2 linked regions of the Canis lupus familiaris genome follow. The protein of the gene in region 1 binds, or shares a complex with, the protein of each later gene. Links are inferred from orthologs where the notes say so. Each region holds a gene or a part of one and is shown on either strand. Other genes may lie near its edges. The genes, in order: HCN2 and PEX5L.

Region 1 (8,569 bases):
AGGCTGTGGTCAGTGGGCTTGCATTGGACAGATGTCGGACAGTAGCCCTGCTCCGACCCTGGGCACTGAGGTGGCCAAGGCCGGGGGTCCAGGGAGGGGCTGATGGCTGCTGAGTATAGGGCCCGCCTTCGAGACCCTTCCCTTATTTCTCCGGTGCCGGCTGGGGTGGGTGGGCTGACTGGCTTCTTCCTGGCCTGGAACCCCTGAGTCCCCGGCTCACAGGTCTCGGGCGCTCCAGGCCGCCCCGCTCGCCCCACTCTGAAGCCTCATCTTAGTTGGATCCCGAGCCAGCCAGAAGCTCAGTCCTGTTTCTGGTGGCTTGGTGGCTGGGCACAGAGGGTCGTGGGGTGGGACCAGGTCCCTGTGCTGTGCCCGCACCTCCTCGTCCCTCCTGGGACCACCTGACCAGGCCTTGCTCTGGCTCCCGTGGGAGTCACCTGCAGCCTTAACTCAGGACGGGATGGTTTTCTGCTGTGCGCCCCGCTCATGGCCACGCGTCTGCTTGCAGGGTGGACTCGGATGAGCGCTCGGGGGAGTACTCGTGCATCTTCCTCCCAGAGCTTCTGGGCAAGAGCAGCATCGAAGTGAGGGGTGAGCTCGGCAGGCCTTCGGGCGCATCTGGGGGGCGGGGGCTAGTGGAACCCCCAGGGAGGGGGCTCAGGTGCCCGCCTTGCTCGGTCTCCCCTGCAGGGCTCCCCAACATCAAGGCTGTGAAAAAGTCGGAGCATGCCACCGAGCGGGAGACGGTCGTGCTGGGCTGCAGGTCGGACTCCTTTCCCCCGGTCACCGACTGGGTGTGGTACAAGGTGGAAAGCTCTGGGGACCAGGTGAGACCCGCGCCTGCCAGGGGCGGGTGGGTGAGGCTGGCCTCAGCCCCTACAAGGTCCGCCTGCCCCTAGGTCATCAGCAACAGCTCCCAGAGCAAGTTCCTGGTCGTGTCCTCGGAGACAAAGACGGAGCTGCGCATCAGCAACCTGGACTTGGAGACCGATCCTGGCAAGTACGTGTGCAACGGCACGAACTCAGAGGGCACCAGCCAGGCCGTCATCGTGCTGCGCGTGCGAAACCGCTTCGCCGCCCTCTGGCCCTTCCTGGGCATCGTGGCCGAAGTCCTGGTGCTGGTCACCGTCATCTTCATCTATGAGAAGCGGCGGAAGCCGGATGAGGTCCTGGATGGTGAGCTCACACGCCCTTCACGCGCTGTTTGGTTGTTGGGGGGAGGCTGGGCCACCGTCCAGGAGCGCGGGAGACGAGGGTGCTGCGGGGTTGAGGGTCCCCAGCTGGGGGCTGCTGGCCTGAGGCCTCATCTGCCCCACTGTGCCCTCCGCTGCTCTGCCCAGGCCTGTGGCAGTGGCTTGGCGCCTGAGGGCCGTGACCCCGACAGCTCATTTGGAGGGTGCATGTCCTGGGGGCAGGGCTGGCCCCTGGATTTACAGTAAGGGACACTGAGGGCGGGGCCTGTAGGACCCGTGTCACCCTGCTAGGGGCCTTGTCCGGGGACCACTCCTCACGGCCTGTCCTCTTCTTGCATGTGGCTGCGCATCCACACAGACGAGGACACGGGCTCTGCTCCTCTGTAAGTCGTGGCCTCGGGCGGGCGGGCGGGCTCCCCTGGGCAGGGCTAGCGGGGCTGCTGGCCCTCCAGTGGGCACGTGGTGGGGCTGGGGCCGCCGTCCTGCCCTCCTGAGCTTCGGGAGCCGTCCTTCCTCTCCCCAGGAAGAGCAGTGGGCACGTCAACGACAAAGGCAAGAACGTTCGCCAGCGGAACGCCAACTGAGGTGAGGCGTGGAGGGTGCAGGGGGTGGGGGCCCCGGGCCTCGGGCTGGGGTCTGAGCCTCCGTCTCGCCCTGCACAGGCCTCCCGCCTCCGCCTGGAGCAGCCGCGAGCAGCTCAGCGGCTGGTGTCTGCAGATTCCACGTTCTTTCCTCTCACAGGAGACCCGCCCCACGAAAGCAGACCACACACCGTGGGTCAGATCACACTTTTCTTTCCTTTTTTAAACTAAACTAGGGTTTTCTACATAGAATTCCATTCTTTAGGGGGTTTTTCCTTTTTAAACATTTTGTGAGCGTCTCAGGGGAGCCGTGAGCTTCCTGCGAGACTCCTGTCCTCCCCTCGTCTGCTCGGCCACCCCTGCCCGCTGTCCCCTCGCCGGCCCCCCACCGCCCTCCCGCCCGCCCCTCCGGGCCCAGCCACCCGTCCTTCGGCGTCCCTTGGGCATCTAGCCTCCTCTCCCCTCGTGGGGGTCGTGGAGGACGGACTGGCCCATCTCTGGGGCTCTACCTCCTGGGGCTGCTGGGCCTTGTTGGGACCCCTGTGCAGGGTCACAGGCCGTGCACGGTGCAGGTGCAAGCATCCTGCCTGCCCAAGTCCTGGCTGGCGGGTTGCCTCGGGTCTGTGTTGTGCGTGGGACGGCTCTGACCACGTGGCTGCTGGCGGGCCCCGCCCGCCCCTCCCCGTCCCTCCCCGTCCCTCCCCGCTCCTGCCATCCACCCGGTTGCAGGGGAGTTGCCTGGCCACCGGTGCTGCGGGTCTGCTGTTATGGCAGCTGCAGGACCCCCTCCCAGCTATTCCCCAGCTGCTCCCCAGCTCCCGACTCGCCCGCCACCTGCCTGCTCACCAATAAAGAAAGCCTGACCCGTCTCGTTCTCGGGCTCCTGTGCACACCGCCTGCGTCTTCTGGAGAGCTTGTGGGGGTGGGAGTGCCCCTGGTGCTGAGTCCTGGGGTGCAGTTGGGGTGCATGGGAGGGGCTGACCGGCTGGCCAGGAGCTTTGTTCCCAGGATGAAGGCTAAGGGTAGGGATGGGATGTGGGGGGCAGAGGACCATGGGGGCCATGGGCGTGTTCAGAGAAGGACTTGGCCCCGTGGCGGGTGTGAGCTAGGTTCCTACGTCCACGGGGCCCGGGACTCCTTCCGGTGGGTCCCCCCGGACAGGACCAGACCCAGACCCAGACCCACAGCTGCCTGGCACCTGCCTGCCCCAGGCCAGAGGTTCCCTGTGGTGTGAGTGGTGTCTGGGGAGCGGGGGGTGTCCAGGACCCCACTAGTGGGCCCAGCCTGGACGGGCAGTGCCACCCGTGGTGACAGAGGTGGCCCTTCTGAGACTGGCCCCCAGGACGAGGGGTCCCTGTTCGGCTGAGCCCAGCCTGACTCCTGGGGGAAAGGACAGTCTGGACACTGGGTGGTGCTGGGTGGTGCTCTGGGAACAGGAGGAGGCAGGGCCTTGCCACTGAGGCCCCCGCCTGGTGCCAGAGGGGAAGCTTCTCAGAGAAGGGGACCCCGCTGCCCACCTAGGGCCTGAGCTGACCCAGCGCCTCCCCTGTGGACCTGGGCACAGGCCTCTGGCCCGGCCAGAGCTGAGGTCCCAGAGCGGCCAGAAATCAGGGTTCGGGGGGAGATTGGTCCTTTTCAAGGCTGGCAAGTTAGATCCCGCACAACAGTGTGAAGAGGGGGTCGGCCCACGAGCCACGGGTGGGAGGCCCGGCCCCCGGGGGTGGCTTTCTCAGGCCCCGGGCCGCCTAGCGTGTCCGCCCGGCTGGCCACATGCTTGGGCCTCCAGGCAACGGCAGGTGGTTCCCCTGGGCTTCTGTGGCCGGAACAGGGTCCTTTATGGGGCCCCACACCTTGGCCTGGGGGGCTGTGGGCCTGGCCCTTCCCGCTGGCCGTCAGAGGGAGCTACGCGCCTGCCACTGAGCAGGGTTTGGAGGCCACGGGAGCCCCTCGTTTACAGAAGGCCTCTGGGGTTGCACCCGCCTGGCCCTGTAGACCCCGCTGCCCCCTGCTGGACAGGCCTGGGCCAGCCTCCCTAAGCCCTAGGGCGCCCTGGGGCACGAGCCGCGCACACCGGGGGGTGGAGGATGCGCCTTCCTCCTGGTCCCTCTGCGACGTTGACTGAGCAGCCCCGGCACAGCTGGGGTTGGGGTCCTTGGTGGACGGGCAGCGGTCGGGGGGCCCTGATGAGCTGGCCCATCCCTGGGGGTGCTGCCAGGGCTCAGGGGCAACCTCCAAGCTCCCCCGAAGTCGGGGGTTCCTGGGGGTGTCCTCTGGGAAGCCAGGGCCCCGGGGCCCAGTGCGGGGGGGCAGAGCCTTGGGTCCCAGAGGGGTTTCCTGGAGCAGGACCTGTGGGGGGTTGAGGCGAGGCGGCTGAGGCTCAGCCTCCTGACCCGTGGAGATGCCCCCACGAGGTCGCCCTCCGAGCCCTGAAGCCTCCATCCATCCGGCTCAGCCTCAGTTCCCCCACAGTGGGATGGAGACAGCACAGGATCGGGGGGCAGAGGAGCAGGGCACGAGCGATGTGCCCCGCGGCGTCCCTGGGCCCACAGACGGGGACACTTGTCCCAGACCCCTGCCCCTTGCAGTGGGGGCCCCCAAGGGCTCTCAGGTCAGCAGCAAAGGAGCGATTTGGGGGCCTCACCCGGCAGCAGAGAAGATGGGACAGAGGTGTTGGGGTCATCAGTTTGGCCCTCCCACTTGCTGGGGAGTGCGGTTTCTGTAGGGAAAGGAGAGTCCCGGTGAATCTGCGGTTGGCTGACCCGGGGACCCCAGCTGGGCCGTGTGACACTGGGAACCGGGTGGTGGGATGCCCCGCCTGCCGTCACTGGCCGCCCTGGGCAAGGTGCTGGCGCGGGTGGCTCCCAGACTGAAGCCAGGGGTCCTGCCGCCAGCTGATCACACAGCATGTCCCTGAGCCGCGGTGGGCTCTCCTGGTGGCCCCTGATGCTCAGAGGGTCCCCAAGCTCGGGGCCTCGGGCCTTTGCACCTGGACTTGCCCCGACTAGAGAGGACGCAGGGTTGGTCGGGAGGTGCCCTCAGAGCCCGTGCTGGGGCCCAGTAATGCTCAGCTGATGGGATCGGGGCTTCTTAGCAAAGGCAGCTTCAGGCCGCAGACTGTTGTGAACTCGGGGTCTCACAGCCGTGCACCCTCCGCTGTCTGAGCGTCCACCCACCCCGGGAGCCTCAACAGCCTTTGTTGTCCCACAAGCCAGTCACCCTCCTGCCTCAGGGCCTTTGCCACCTGCCAGACGCTCTTCCCACAAATGTCCACGTGACACCAGCCCTCCCTTCAGACATCACCTTCCCCCCGGGGAGGCCTCGGGACCTCAGCCCCAGCACCTTTGTCTTCCCTCTCTGGCTCTGAGTTGTGTAGCGCTTAACCACCTTCCAAGGGATTTGTCGTATCTATTAAATGTAAGGTTTACTATGGTGAGTGTCCTTCCGCCCACCTCGCAGCAGGGTGCCCGTGGCCCAGGTCCCAGCCCACTGGTGCTGAATAAATGTTTGTTGAACGAATGCAGGGCATTGCGCCCTGGCCGAGTGTGGAGAGGGGGTGGGAGAGACCGGGGGGCTGGTGGCTGTCCAGGATGGAGCCTGTGGGACGGGGAGGAGTCGTCAGGACTTGGGGGCCGGGTCCCCAGGGCCCAGGGAGGGGCTGAGACCCCCCCCAAGGTGACTCCCAGTCCAGGCCCGCCTCTCCCACTCCAGGCTCGGTGGGCCCGCCTCCTCCCCGCTCTGTGCGGGAGCCCTGGGGCGCTGGCGGCCTGCCCAGACTGACAGGCTCCCAGGGTGAGCATAAAAGATCCCCCTTCAGCTGGAACACACATCTGCCCGGGGCGGGCTGCAGCCTGGCACTGCCAACCCTGCTGCCCGCCCAGCTTCCCCTCGCCGCCTCAGGACGCGCAGCCCTGCCGCCCACCCATCCGGCTGCAGGTCTGGCCCGCGGGCGGGAGCGGCCCCTGGATGCCTGACCTGCTGGGTAGAAGCACAGGAGACCCAGGCCTCTGTCCACCCCTGTCACCCGTGGGCACCTGCTGTGTGCAGAGACACGCTGGCGGGTGGATGCACCCATGGGAGCAGGCATGAAGGTGGAACGTTCCTTCCCGGGTTCTCCAGGTCCCTTCTCGCTCCTGTGTCTCTGCCCGCTACTTGCCTCTTGGGACACCTCCTCCTCCCCTCTGGCTGTGCTGGGATGGGGGCCGGCGGCTAGGGACGGTCCCGGGCCTGTGCCCTCGTGTCCCCTAGCACCAGACAGCCCCCCAACCTGATTCCAGCCCGGGACACGGAGCCTCAGGCATCCTCCCAGAGCGCGGGGCCGAGTGGCCAGCAGGGCCTGAGCCCCGGGGCCAGGGCAGTGGGGCCCTCGGGTGCGAGTCCGCGGCCGCCCCGGGCCCCTGGGCACGTCCCCGTTTGAAAGCCCACCAGCGCCCGGGAGATGAGCCGCCGCGGACCCTCAGGGCGCTGTTTGGGGGCCGCATCAGCGCCGCCGGGGGGCGCCCCCCGTGGCCCCGGTTCCTCCCTTGCGGGCGGGGGCGGGGGCGGGGCGGGGGCGGGGGCGGGGGTGGCGGTGCGACCCCCGCGCTCGCACGTCCCCGCGTCCGCGCCCGCCCGGGCCTTCGCGCCGCAGAGCACCGGCCCTTCTGACCTTTAAAACCCTCCTTTTATTACGGAAACTCTCGAGCCCACGGAGGCGGGAGGCCGGCGCGGCCCCGGGGACGGCCCCAGCGCGGGGAGGCCGTGGCTGAGGCGCGGCCGAGCCCGGTGACCTTGGGCGCGTCCTTCCTCCCGCGGGCCTCAGTTTCCCTTCTGCGACGAGGTCTGAGCGCGTCGCCCGGGCCTCCGGCCGCGCGACCTTGGGCCGTCCCCGCCTCCTCCGCGGCCCTCAGTTTCCTCCTCCCCGGCGCGGGGCCCGGGCGCGGCGCGCGGGGAGGGGGTTCCGGCCGGAGGGGGCCGCCCCCGCCCCTCCCCGCCCCGCCCCTCCCCCGCGCCCGCCCCCCGCGGGCTTCGCGCCCCTGCCCACGGCCCCGCATCCCCCCCTCGGGCTCGGGCCGGCGGGCGCGGCGGCGCTCCTCTCCTCACTTCCTGACCTCCCTCCGACTCGCCTGGCGCGCGGGGGGTCCGAATCTGCTCCCCCCCGGGCAGTCAGGGCGCTCCCCCGCGCCCCCCCGCCCCTCCTGCCCCCGCCTCCAACCCCCCCCCCGAAACTTTCCGGCCCGCCCCCCACCCCGCCGCCGGCGCCCCGGGCCGAGGCGGCTCCGCCGGAGGCGACGGACGAGGGCGGCCCGCGGGCCCGGCTCCGCAGCCGCGACAGCTCGAGCGGGCGGCCGGCCACCCCGGGCGCGGCGAGCACGGCCAAGGGCAGCCCGAACGGCGAGTGCGGGGCGAGGCGAGACGCAGTGCAGCCCGCGGGGCCGGAGGGCCCGGCGCGCGGCGCCAAGGTGTCGTTCTCCTGCCGCGGGGCCGCGGGGCCGGGGCCGGGGCCGGGGCCGGGGCCGGGGCCGGCGGACGAGGCGGGCAGCGAGGAGGCGGGCCCGGCGGGGGAGCCGCGCGGCAGCCAGGCCAGCTTCATGCAGCGCCAGTTCGGCGCGCTCCTGCAGCCGGGCGTCAACAAGTTCTCGCTGCGGATGTTCGGCAGCCAGAAGGCCGTGGAGCGCGAGCAGGAGCGCGTCAAGTCGGCGGGGGCCTGGATCATCCACCCGTACAGCGACTTCAGGTACCGCGCGGCCGCGGCGCCGGGGCTCGGGGACGGACGCGCGGCGGGAGGGCGGGGCCGCGCGCCCCGGGGGTGACCTCGGGCCCCTCGCCGACCCCCGGCGCGCCCGGGACCCGCCCCGCGAGGCCCCGCCCTCGGAGGGGCGCGGGAAGCGCGCAGGCCCGGCCGAGCCCCCGGCGCGCCCCCTCCCACGCACCGCCCTCCCGCGCCCGCGGGCCGGGGTCTGAGCGCGGCCGGGCCGGGAGGACGAATAGAGGGGAACGTGGGCGCCGGGAGGCGGCGGCGCGGAAGGAAGGCGGAAGGAAGGGCGCTCGGGAAGGACGCGTCCCGGAGAGGCCGGCGGCGCGGGGTGAAGGGCGCGGGGCCCTCGTCCAGCGGCTCCGCCCGCGCCGCGCGCCCCAGGGAGGCGCCTGCAGGGTCCCGGCCGGGGCCGCGGGGCGGCGTGTCCGCGTGTCAGTGGGTGTGTAGACGTCGGTGTGGATCAAGGCGGCGGATGCGTGGAAAGGCTCAGAGCCGGCCCGGCCCAGGGTCAGGCCGAGGATGTCCGTGGTTCGTGCTCCCTGGCGCGTGCCCCGTGGCCTGCGGGTGCGAAGCGTGCGTGTCACTGCGGGCCGTGTGTGTGATCACGAGCATGTGACTGCAGGGGGCGTGGGCCCGGGGCCATGGGCAGAGTGACCCGGGGGCCCTAGGGGTGTGTCCGCGTGGTAGGTGTGCCCGGAGAGGGGCTGCGTGCGGGCGGCCGGGCGAGCTGAGCTGTGTGCAGGGGGTGTGCAGGGGGTGTGCACGGTGTGTGCAGGGGGTGTGCACGGTGTGCGCCGCCTGGGAAGTTTGGAGCCGTGAGGGACGCGGCCGGTCGGGCGCGGAGGGTCCAGCCGGGCGCGCGCGGCTTCAGCACCACGGACAGCGGCCCGCCGAGCCCCGCCGAGCCGGCGTCCGCAGGGGGGACGGGGCTCCCCTGTCCTGGCCCCGCTTCATAGCTCAGGAAACAGGCGCCAAGGGGCGCACAGGCCCGGGACAGAGGTGGACGCCGGCTCCTCACCCTGCAGACCTGCCCCGGGAGGCGGAGGAAGCCTGCCCAGCGG
Region 2 (8,729 bases), on another chromosome or scaffold:
CTCCATATTTTTTTTAAAAAAAACAAGCTTTTATCCCTCTAGAAACATAATAGAGGAAGGGTAAAGCCCTGACCCAGTCGTTTTACTGCAAAGTAGACTTTCAAAGTCTTTGGCAATTTTATGAATCTCTCAATCACACTTTGTTTACTTACTTTCTTATTATGAAAGAAATTCATTCTTATTTCAAAGAGTACTCCCAAGTATAAAGAGAACAGATAGATTATGCATAACTCCATTTCTCAGAGAAAAGGACTTTCAATATTTGGTATGTATCCTCACAGATTTTTCTTCTATAAATGTATATCATATCATTGTAAATTTCCAAAGAGAAGCATGCAGTTTTTCCCCAAAAGGCCTTTGTTCTCACTTTCTTGCCTCATGATTTCTAGCCCCTCATTTTCTGGCATCTACAGTTTTACTTTCTTCACTAGTCGCCTCTTGAACTATAAGTGTACTCAGTACCTTTATACAAGGGAGAGGGAAACTACAATTTTCCCAGTATTTCCCTCCTCTCATTTGTGTCATTCCATTCCCTCTTCCCTCCCACTATTTTTTTAAACTGTGGGAGAATCTTTAGCACACGATTTACTGTCTTGATATGTTTTTCCCTTTTTGTCTTTTCATTCAAGCTTGTGTAAGCAAAAATAAGTCCTTTCTCATCTCTTTGCTCCCTTACTACCAGTGTCGCCACTAAGTCATTCTGATTTTGGTTCCAGGAAGTCAGGTCCTTGATGGCTGCCAGGATGCCCAACACAAGGGAAGTGTGCAGGGTACACCCTTACTTGAACTTTCATCAGCATTTGACAATGTCTAGAGTTCTTTTGCCTTTGACTGCATCCTTCTGGTTCTCCTCTTACATGTCCAACCATTCCTATTTGGCCTCCTTCACTGGGTTCTTTTCTTTGGCCCATTCTTTAAACATAATTTTTCTCCAGGACTCTGGCCTTAGTCCTTATCTCTTCTGTTTTCTTTTTTAATGAGCTCATCCACTCTTGTGATTTTAGTTATCCCCAGAAATCCATACGACCTGCCCTTATCTCTCTTCTGAGCTATAGACCCATATACCCGAATGACCGACTGAATCTTTCCAATGATATCACAAACTCAGCACATACCTTTTCAGCACATCATCTCTTTTCCCAATCCTCCTCCCTCTCACTGAGCCCCTATTCAGTTTGTCGCAACACCATTTAATAGCTGTAATAGTGTAAATAACAGCTGAGACATTTTTTTAAATAATGCAAACTTGACCACTGAAAGAAGTAATATTTGCATTCATCTTGACATCTGTAGTCAATCACAAATTGCTCTGAGGGCTAATTCATACTATTACCTCTAAAGACAGATGGCTAGAGAATCTGGTAATTCAAAGTCCATTGGTGACTGTGAATACAATTACGGTAAATTGCAACCTGGTTGTAATTGTCTTAAAAGTGAAGAGAAAGGAAGGAGCTGTTGCTAGTGAATGTGGACCACTCTTTCAAGTTTGACAGTGAAGAGATAAGAGATTAAATGAATGCCTTTAGGGAAAAGGAGATGTGAGGAAGTAATCTTTTAGAAGAATGGAAACTGAGCAATTGGCAGGCTGTGGGAAGAAGGTGGAGAAGAAGGGATGGAAGACAGGGAAGATAGGAAGATAGGAATTGAACACTGACAACCACAAAAAAGAGAGTAGGGAGATCTTTGTTTCTTTTGTCTCTGTTATATATTTTTCATGTAACATTTGCTTTCCTAAATTCAGGTGTACTATTTATCATTAAATAAATAATAGTAAAAAAATATTTTAAAAATATTTGTATTGAATTTTTAAAGTTTTTATTTAAATTCCAGTTAATTAACATACAGTGTAATAATGTTAGTTTCAGGTGTACAATTTAGTGATTCAGCACGTCTGTACAACACCTGGTACTTATCACAGGTGCGCTCCTTAATCCTCATCATCTATTTAACCCATCCCCCTGCTATCCTTCCCCTCTGGTAACTGTCAGTTTGTTTTCTCTAGTTTTGTTTGCCTCTCTCTCTCTTTTTTCCCCCCATGCTCATTTGTTTTGTTTCTTAAATCCCACATATGAGTGAAATAATACGGTATTTGTCTTTCTCTGACTTACTTTGCTTAGCAAATTTCTGTCTAGCTCCATCCACATGGTTGCAAATGGCAAGATTTCCTTCGTTTTATGGATGGATAATATTCCACTACATATATATATATGTCCATATGTGTATATCTATATGTCTATATGTGTATATATATATACATACATAAATGTATATACATATATCACATCTGTTATCCATTCATCAGTTGATAGAAATTTGGTTTCTTTCCATAATTTAGCTATTCTTGATAATGCTACTATAAACATCAGGGTGCATGTATCCCTTTGAATCAGTATTTTTAGATCTTTTGGGTAAATACCCAGTAGTGTTATTGCTGGATCATAGGGTAGCTCTAATTTTAACTTTTTGAGGAACTCCATACTGTTTTCCACAGTGGTTATGCCAGTTTGAATTTTTATATGTAATCTTTAACCTTTATATTTATTTGCATTATTATTCTGTTGTCAGGCAAAAATTGCAGTTGAAACTAATTCATGCAATTAACTAAATAATGTGTTTCTTAACCTTTTTAAAATCTCCTTCATCTATTCCACTCCTAAATATGAAGAATCCTTTTAATTTGACCCATATACAACTAGTGTCTTTCAGTTAAAACTCTTTTTAAGCTCCTATTCTAAAATGAACATAGGGAGCTTCATTTTTCAGGTCCCTATCCCATCAGATTTTGTTGTTCTGTCTTGTTTTGTTGTTACTTATTTGCAAAATTTTCTTACATAGTGCATTCTCAATCTGTGGTCATGTATTGTTTTTCCTATACAGCTTCTAAGTTTTATGGTTTACTTAATTCAAGTGAGTAAGCCCATCTCTCTGTTCTATTTTTGTGGAGGAGAGAATGAAGGGGTGGGAGGCAGGAAGGAAATAAGGTTAAGGAGAGATGGTGGAATGTCTGCAGAGAGGAAAGGTTACCACTTAGACTCAATATTCTAAAGAAAACTATAGATCTGAATCAATGGTATTTTAAAAGCACTAAGAAATAACTAAATAGTTTTCTTTGCAGTTACTCAGAAAGGATTCAGAATGGTGTGGGGAAGATGGGAGATGCTGCATTTGGGGGTTGACATTGGACACTTCTGAGCTGAAAGCTTCTTGTAAAGAGTGAGGCATTTTTGGCGAAATGACTGTTTTCTTTCTTTCTTTCCTCACATCTCCCACCTTCAAGTCCTCACCATTTTAACTCCGCTACACTGATGCTCTCTTCTCAGCTGCACATAGGTGAGCAGTGCCCAGAATCGACCCGCAGCAGACAGCTTGCTAAGGCTGAGGTGGAGAGGGCCCGACCTTACTGCCTCAGTTGAAATCCTCAGCTCCAGTGTGTGCCAGGGGAGGTGGGAGGGGCACAGGAAGTGACTACCCTCTGGCTTCTCCTCCCACAGAAGCCCTGCCTCCTTAACGCTTGGACAGTGAAGAGGTTAGCTTTCTTTCTCCTTCTGGTTCAGTCCTTTGCCTAAAGTGAAAGACCACGCAGAAGCTATGGAGTTGCTTTTTGTGCTTGACAAAAGTGCATAGATAGAAGACAGGGATTCCTGGCTGGGAGGAGGGAGGAGAGCTGAAGATCCCTGCCTGGGCTGGCTGATCTAAGCAGTCAAAGTGGGAAGCTGAGTGCTTGAAAGAGGATTATGCTCGCACTAGAAATAAGCAGTAAGTGAGCGAATAACCATTATGGTTTAGAAAAGGATTAATCCCCCTGGGGCTATGGGGTGAGCTAGAAAATATCGCTTAATTCTAGAGTAAAATTGTAAGGCTTCTGACTCTGTGTACAGTTGGGTGCTGCTTGGAGACTGGGGCTTAAATACAAAATCAGAGCTCTAAATGCCTCCTCCCACTCTTGGAAAATGCCAACTTCTACTTAGAGTTGTGGATATAATCTTCTTCCCTGACCTAGCCTCTTCCCATTAAAATATACTCCTAACTCAGATAAGGAGTTGGGATTAAATTGGAGAGGTGGGATTTGGTGGTGGTCGAATTGCAGTCTTGAATTATGTTTGGTGAATGCCGACATTGTTATATCATTTAGCAGTGATTTGCTCATCACAAGAAATTCTGGGGTGAGGCATTAAAAGGGAAAAATTGAGAGCTTTTATGATAAAGAGGCTGAATAGTCTATATGCGTAGGATGAAATATAAAAATGTATATAATTAATAATAGATGGAGTGTTTTAAAAAGCATTAACTAGAACAGTAGTTGGGGAACCTAGAAGTGCTAGGATAAAAATTAGTTAGAAAGGAAGAAATTTTAGTTTCAATGATTTTTTTGTGCTAGCCAAAAATTTCACAATGTTTACAAAGTCGAGACTATGATTCAGGGATACTTTGATTATTGTCATACATTATAAATACTCTTGCTGGGCAAGATCTGTGGTTCTTTGGTCAGCAAGTTCTGGCAATGAAACCACTGCCACTGGTGCAAAGAATTCTGGGATGTCTGACAGTGAAATGGATGGAAGGACCCACATTCCATCTCTACTTAATGTCCTTTTGTCCAGAAATCGGGTCATGCAAATGAGCTACTTGGTACGTATACAGATCAATATTCGGAAAGACATTTTTAAATGTTTTGTGTTAGGGGGTCTCTGGACAATATCTCATGGCAACCAGTAGACTAAGAGGATACAAAAACAAAGTAATAGGGAGGAAGTCAGCTTGATTGAAACCAACCCCATTCTTTTTGTTTTCCATCAATCGCGAAATGGAACCTCAAATGAGGAGAAGAAGAATAATGGATAGAAATACTGTGGCCATCTGTTCTATTCTAAGTGGCTAAATTCATTAATATATGAATGAGAATTCAGATTTTATTTGTGCATCCTAATACTTGAAGATTCAGAAATCTCTTTATTACAGGAAAAAAACCCCACAAAAATAGGAGGTATATTTCTTAGGAAGGAAGGGAAAGAAAACATAAGAATTGTGTCCCATAGGTTAAAGAAGATTTACATCATCTTTGCTGAAGGATATAGTTCTACCCTTAATGAGATGGGGATCCTAATATGGCACAATAGATGCAAATAAATATTTTTAGTTCCCTTAATTCTGATTGATGGAATTAAAGCAAGCATTGTTTCTTGTTTTTTCTTTTTAAAATAATAATCTTGGATCATAGCTAACTATGTAGTGAATTTTATTTTCCCTTTCTTACTGGTCCTCTACAGAGGTACTATGATTTCTGAAATCATGAAGAAGGAATCTATCATTTCTGGTATTGCTATCAGCCAGTGTATTGGGAGAAAGAAAAAAAAAAGACTCAGACGTATTATCTTTCTCCTATAGCACAACACTGAAATGGTTAAAATGATCTATGACCTTTTCTAACTTTACAACTTTTGCTGTGGGGAAGGTAGATGGAGATTGGTCATGGGGGAAAAAGACAAAATGCCAATAAAGTGCATTTTTAAAAAATGGTCTGTATTCTTTCAACTTTTCAAACTACCCAAGTTTGAAAATTATTTTACTCATCTTTTAAAAATTATTTGAGTTGGTTTTTCCAGTGTTAGTTTTCATCAGATTTATAAGCAAATGCTGAAAATCTGAAGACTCGTTATCTGAGTTGTATAATGCTTGTCTTATTCTTTAAGATATAAAAGATATTAAAATAAACATTTAATAGTTGATATCTTAAAGCAGACCATAATTACTAAATGCAATTTCAGTCCTTAAGAAAAATGGGCTCGGACTCTTAAGGGAATTGTATATCTATCTCAAAATTTTAAAGAATGTGTTTTGAAATTACAAAATTGAAAAAGGCATAGCAATATTCAGAAAAGGATTAAAGGTATAATTTGAATGAGAGAGGCTAAGGAGAAATACTTGATGAGTTAATTATAAGCCTGCAGTTTAACAACAAAACATTTGCTGTTGTCCATGAGAGACTGACGTAAAGAATGATGTATTATGACTAGTGAACAAGGCTAAAACTTTTATCTTTAAAAATTATTAAGTGGGAGTTAACCTTATTAATGGAAAGAAACTAAATGATCATTTAAAATTATTCTTTCACAAGAAAAGTAAAGAAAAAGGATATGGAAAACTAAGCAGTGATGAAGACCTCGAAATAATTGTTGATCAAAAGCAGGTAAGTGAATGCTTACATACATTTTCTACTGTTGTACTGTAGATCTTTGACAACTGAAGCCCTTTGACTGTTCAGCCTGCCTTGGTGGCTGTATTAGCCTGTCAGGCAGAGGTCTGCATAACAAGATAGATTTTGAGAGCTGCTAAGCCTCTCTATATGATCCCTCTGATCCACCGACTTCTGCATGATGTCAACATGCATGTTCTGTGTGTAGGAACAATGAAAATAAAGCAGAACAAGATAAGAGAACTTTTGGGAAATCACATGCCCTGGTAAAAACTGAATCAATACAACAATGATAATTTGGTTGGGGAAAAAAATGTAAACAAGAATCAGTATGTTATTTGGAAAGTGAGAAAGCTAACATTAGTGTAAAACAATGAGTATACTTTAAGGGGAAGGGAGTAAAAGACTAAAAAAACTGAGAAACTGAAAACATATATGCCCAATTTACTTTATCAGAATATCTGCAGTAAATGTAGACATTATTTTAAAAATATAAAAAGAAGAAGCTACTTAATGTTCTTCAATACTGCCTGTAATTTGAGAAGCATCTAGCTTGGATTTTATATGGGCCCATAAGGTGAAATGAAAACTGCTTAATAGACCATAAACAATGATATCAGGTAATGGAAAGTATCCAGCTAATGCCACTGAATTGGCATTGGCCCTTAACGTCTTTGTTAATTATCAAGGAGACAGGATAACTGCACATCTATTTAATGTGTAAGTGGCACTGATTCTGAAGATGATGTAAGCTCAGATGGAGACTGAGAAATAATTCAAAGGAGTCTGCGTAGATAAAGAGGTTAGAAAGAAAACAGTCAGCAAGTTACAGAAAGACAAGTTGAATTTAGACAATGTCCTAATCGTGCAGTTTGTTTTGCATCATGACAATTGCATTAAAGGAGCCATTGTGTATATTTCTGAAAAAACAAAAAATGACCATCAGAAGAGAGCAATCAGAAGTAGCTGAGTTGGAGACTTGCTTCCTAAGTCTGAATAACTGAGGTAACTGAAGTAGTCTTCTGGGGGGGGGGGGGAAACTCATCAAACAAAGCATCACCCCAGAGGTGCAGAATGGGATGATCTTATAGTATTCTCTCAAACTGCCTTTGAATTCTTTTTTTCTTGCCTTATCTTCACTCTCCTGCTCCTGAGTAAATTGGTAAGTGAGGAATTTGGACCTGTATGCCAGATTAATTACTTGGGGCACATGATCTCCATCTCTCACAGAGCCTATACCTAGATCTACTGGCATTCTCAGTGAAGGACAGGACCCATCCGGTGAATGAACCTGTAAAATACAATTGAGTATATTATGGGAATACACATACCTATCCATTTATCTATTAAAATGAAAAGTAAAGATTTTTAAAATTTCTTCCTTAATCATGTAGACGTTAAATGTTTACTCTTTGTAGTACTTTCTTAGTATCATCCTACCCACAAGGGCTGCTTTTTTCCCCCTAAAGCTTTTTGTTTGTTTGTTTGTTTGTTTGTTTTAACTAACTTTGGGGATTCAGAAAACCATAAAAGTATACATTGAGCTCTTTGGAATGAAAAGCCCAAAGGAGTCATTGTTTTGTTTTTTTTTTCTTTCTCATGGTAGCTTTCACAGCATTTATGTTGTTGTCTTTAAATGCATTTTATTAACTGTTAAGAGAACCAACTTTCCTTCTGTTTCAGAAAATAATGCTTTTCTTACCTGGCTCAAAGGAGGGAGGATTTGACTTGCCCAGTCATCGTTTGCCTCTATAGTTAATTACGTTTCCCCAGTGCCACTGTACCAGTTGGCACCAGTTGGCAGTGACCCAGCTTTGCTGAGTCATTCATGTCAAAACACGTTTTAAAAGACAAGTCATTATGAATATGAGTTGGCTTTCATGTTTGCTGTTGGCAGTAAGACTAGTCCTTCCTTTGGGGGAAGGTTTACTTGGTGGTGATGTGAGCAAATCCTGGGTTGAAACAATGACAATGCTGATACCTCGAAGTAAGATGTTTAGAAAAACACACTAATTAGTCCTGATGATACTACAAAAAATTCTTTCTACACTTAAGAGATCATCATTCAAAGTGTATATGTTTTTGTTTAATATGGCTTCCTTTCATAGATATTACGTATTTGGGGAGGAATCTTTATGTTCAGTTTATTCTTTCTATATCTTTTTAGAAACATGGTAGATATGTTAGTCAATCTTCATATAATTGTAAATAGCTTTTTCAGTAAGTGCTGCCGAAAGAAAATCTAGAGAAGATAAATAAAATAGTTGGAGTGCTGTGCTGGTCAGAAGTCTACTAATCTCATTAAATCTGTCATTCAGAAGCTGTCACTCTACAAATGCTGTGCAAGCTATATGCCGTTTTATCAAGTCGTGTGATTTGTGAGACTTGTACTTCCACAGAAAATTCACAATTTTGCCTAGATAAGCAAATTAATAACAGAAGCTGCACAGAGTATGTGTATTTTGTTCTCCTTGGCCAGCTCCATTCAAGGGGGTAAAAAGTGATTTCTATGTTATTTCTACATGAGAAAAAGTGA

What was found.
Region 2: the proteins of HCN2 (region 1) and PEX5L are in contact, whole or in part, in a crystal structure (PDB 4EQF), measured with the Mus musculus proteins. The link is inferred for Canis lupus familiaris from reciprocal best matches to the Homo sapiens genes HCN2 and PEX5L. Residues at the interface, in NP_032252.1 of Mus musculus: Leu859, Ser860, Ser861, Asn862, Leu863; in NP_001156988.1 of Mus musculus: Glu315, Glu317, Val343, Asn347, His426, Asn453, Arg454, Ala457, Thr458, Ala460, Asn461, Tyr472, Arg484, Tyr487, Asn488, Ile491, Ile494, Ile537.

Annotation. Positions count from the first base shown.
Region 1 is NC_049241.1:58,417,008-58,425,576, reverse strand, and holds the start of HCN2 (potassium/sodium hyperpolarization-activated cyclic nucleotide-gated channel 2), read left to right. Parts: upstream 1-4,293; coding exon 4,294-4,382; intron 4,383-6,019; coding exon 6,020-6,141; intron 6,142-6,916; coding exon 6,917-7,487; intron 7,488-8,569. Other genes in the region: BSG (basigin), read left to right, coding at 509-591, 691-827, 900-1,176, 1,552-1,576, 1,717-1,777. UniProt on the Homo sapiens protein: Hyperpolarization-activated ion channel that is permeable to sodium and potassium ions. Displays lower selectivity for K(+) over Na(+) ions. Contributes to the native pacemaker currents in heart (If) and in neurons (Ih).
Region 2 is NC_049255.1:13,528,487-13,537,215, reverse strand, and holds the start of PEX5L (PEX5-related protein), read left to right. Parts: upstream 1-3,532; 5' UTR 3,533-3,734; coding exon 3,735-3,756; intron 3,757-4,469; exon of another isoform or gene 4,470-4,489; coding exon 4,490-4,629; intron 4,630-6,115; coding exon 6,116-6,187; intron 6,188-8,729. UniProt on the Homo sapiens protein: Accessory subunit of hyperpolarization-activated cyclic nucleotide-gated (HCN) channels, regulating their cell-surface expression and cyclic nucleotide dependence.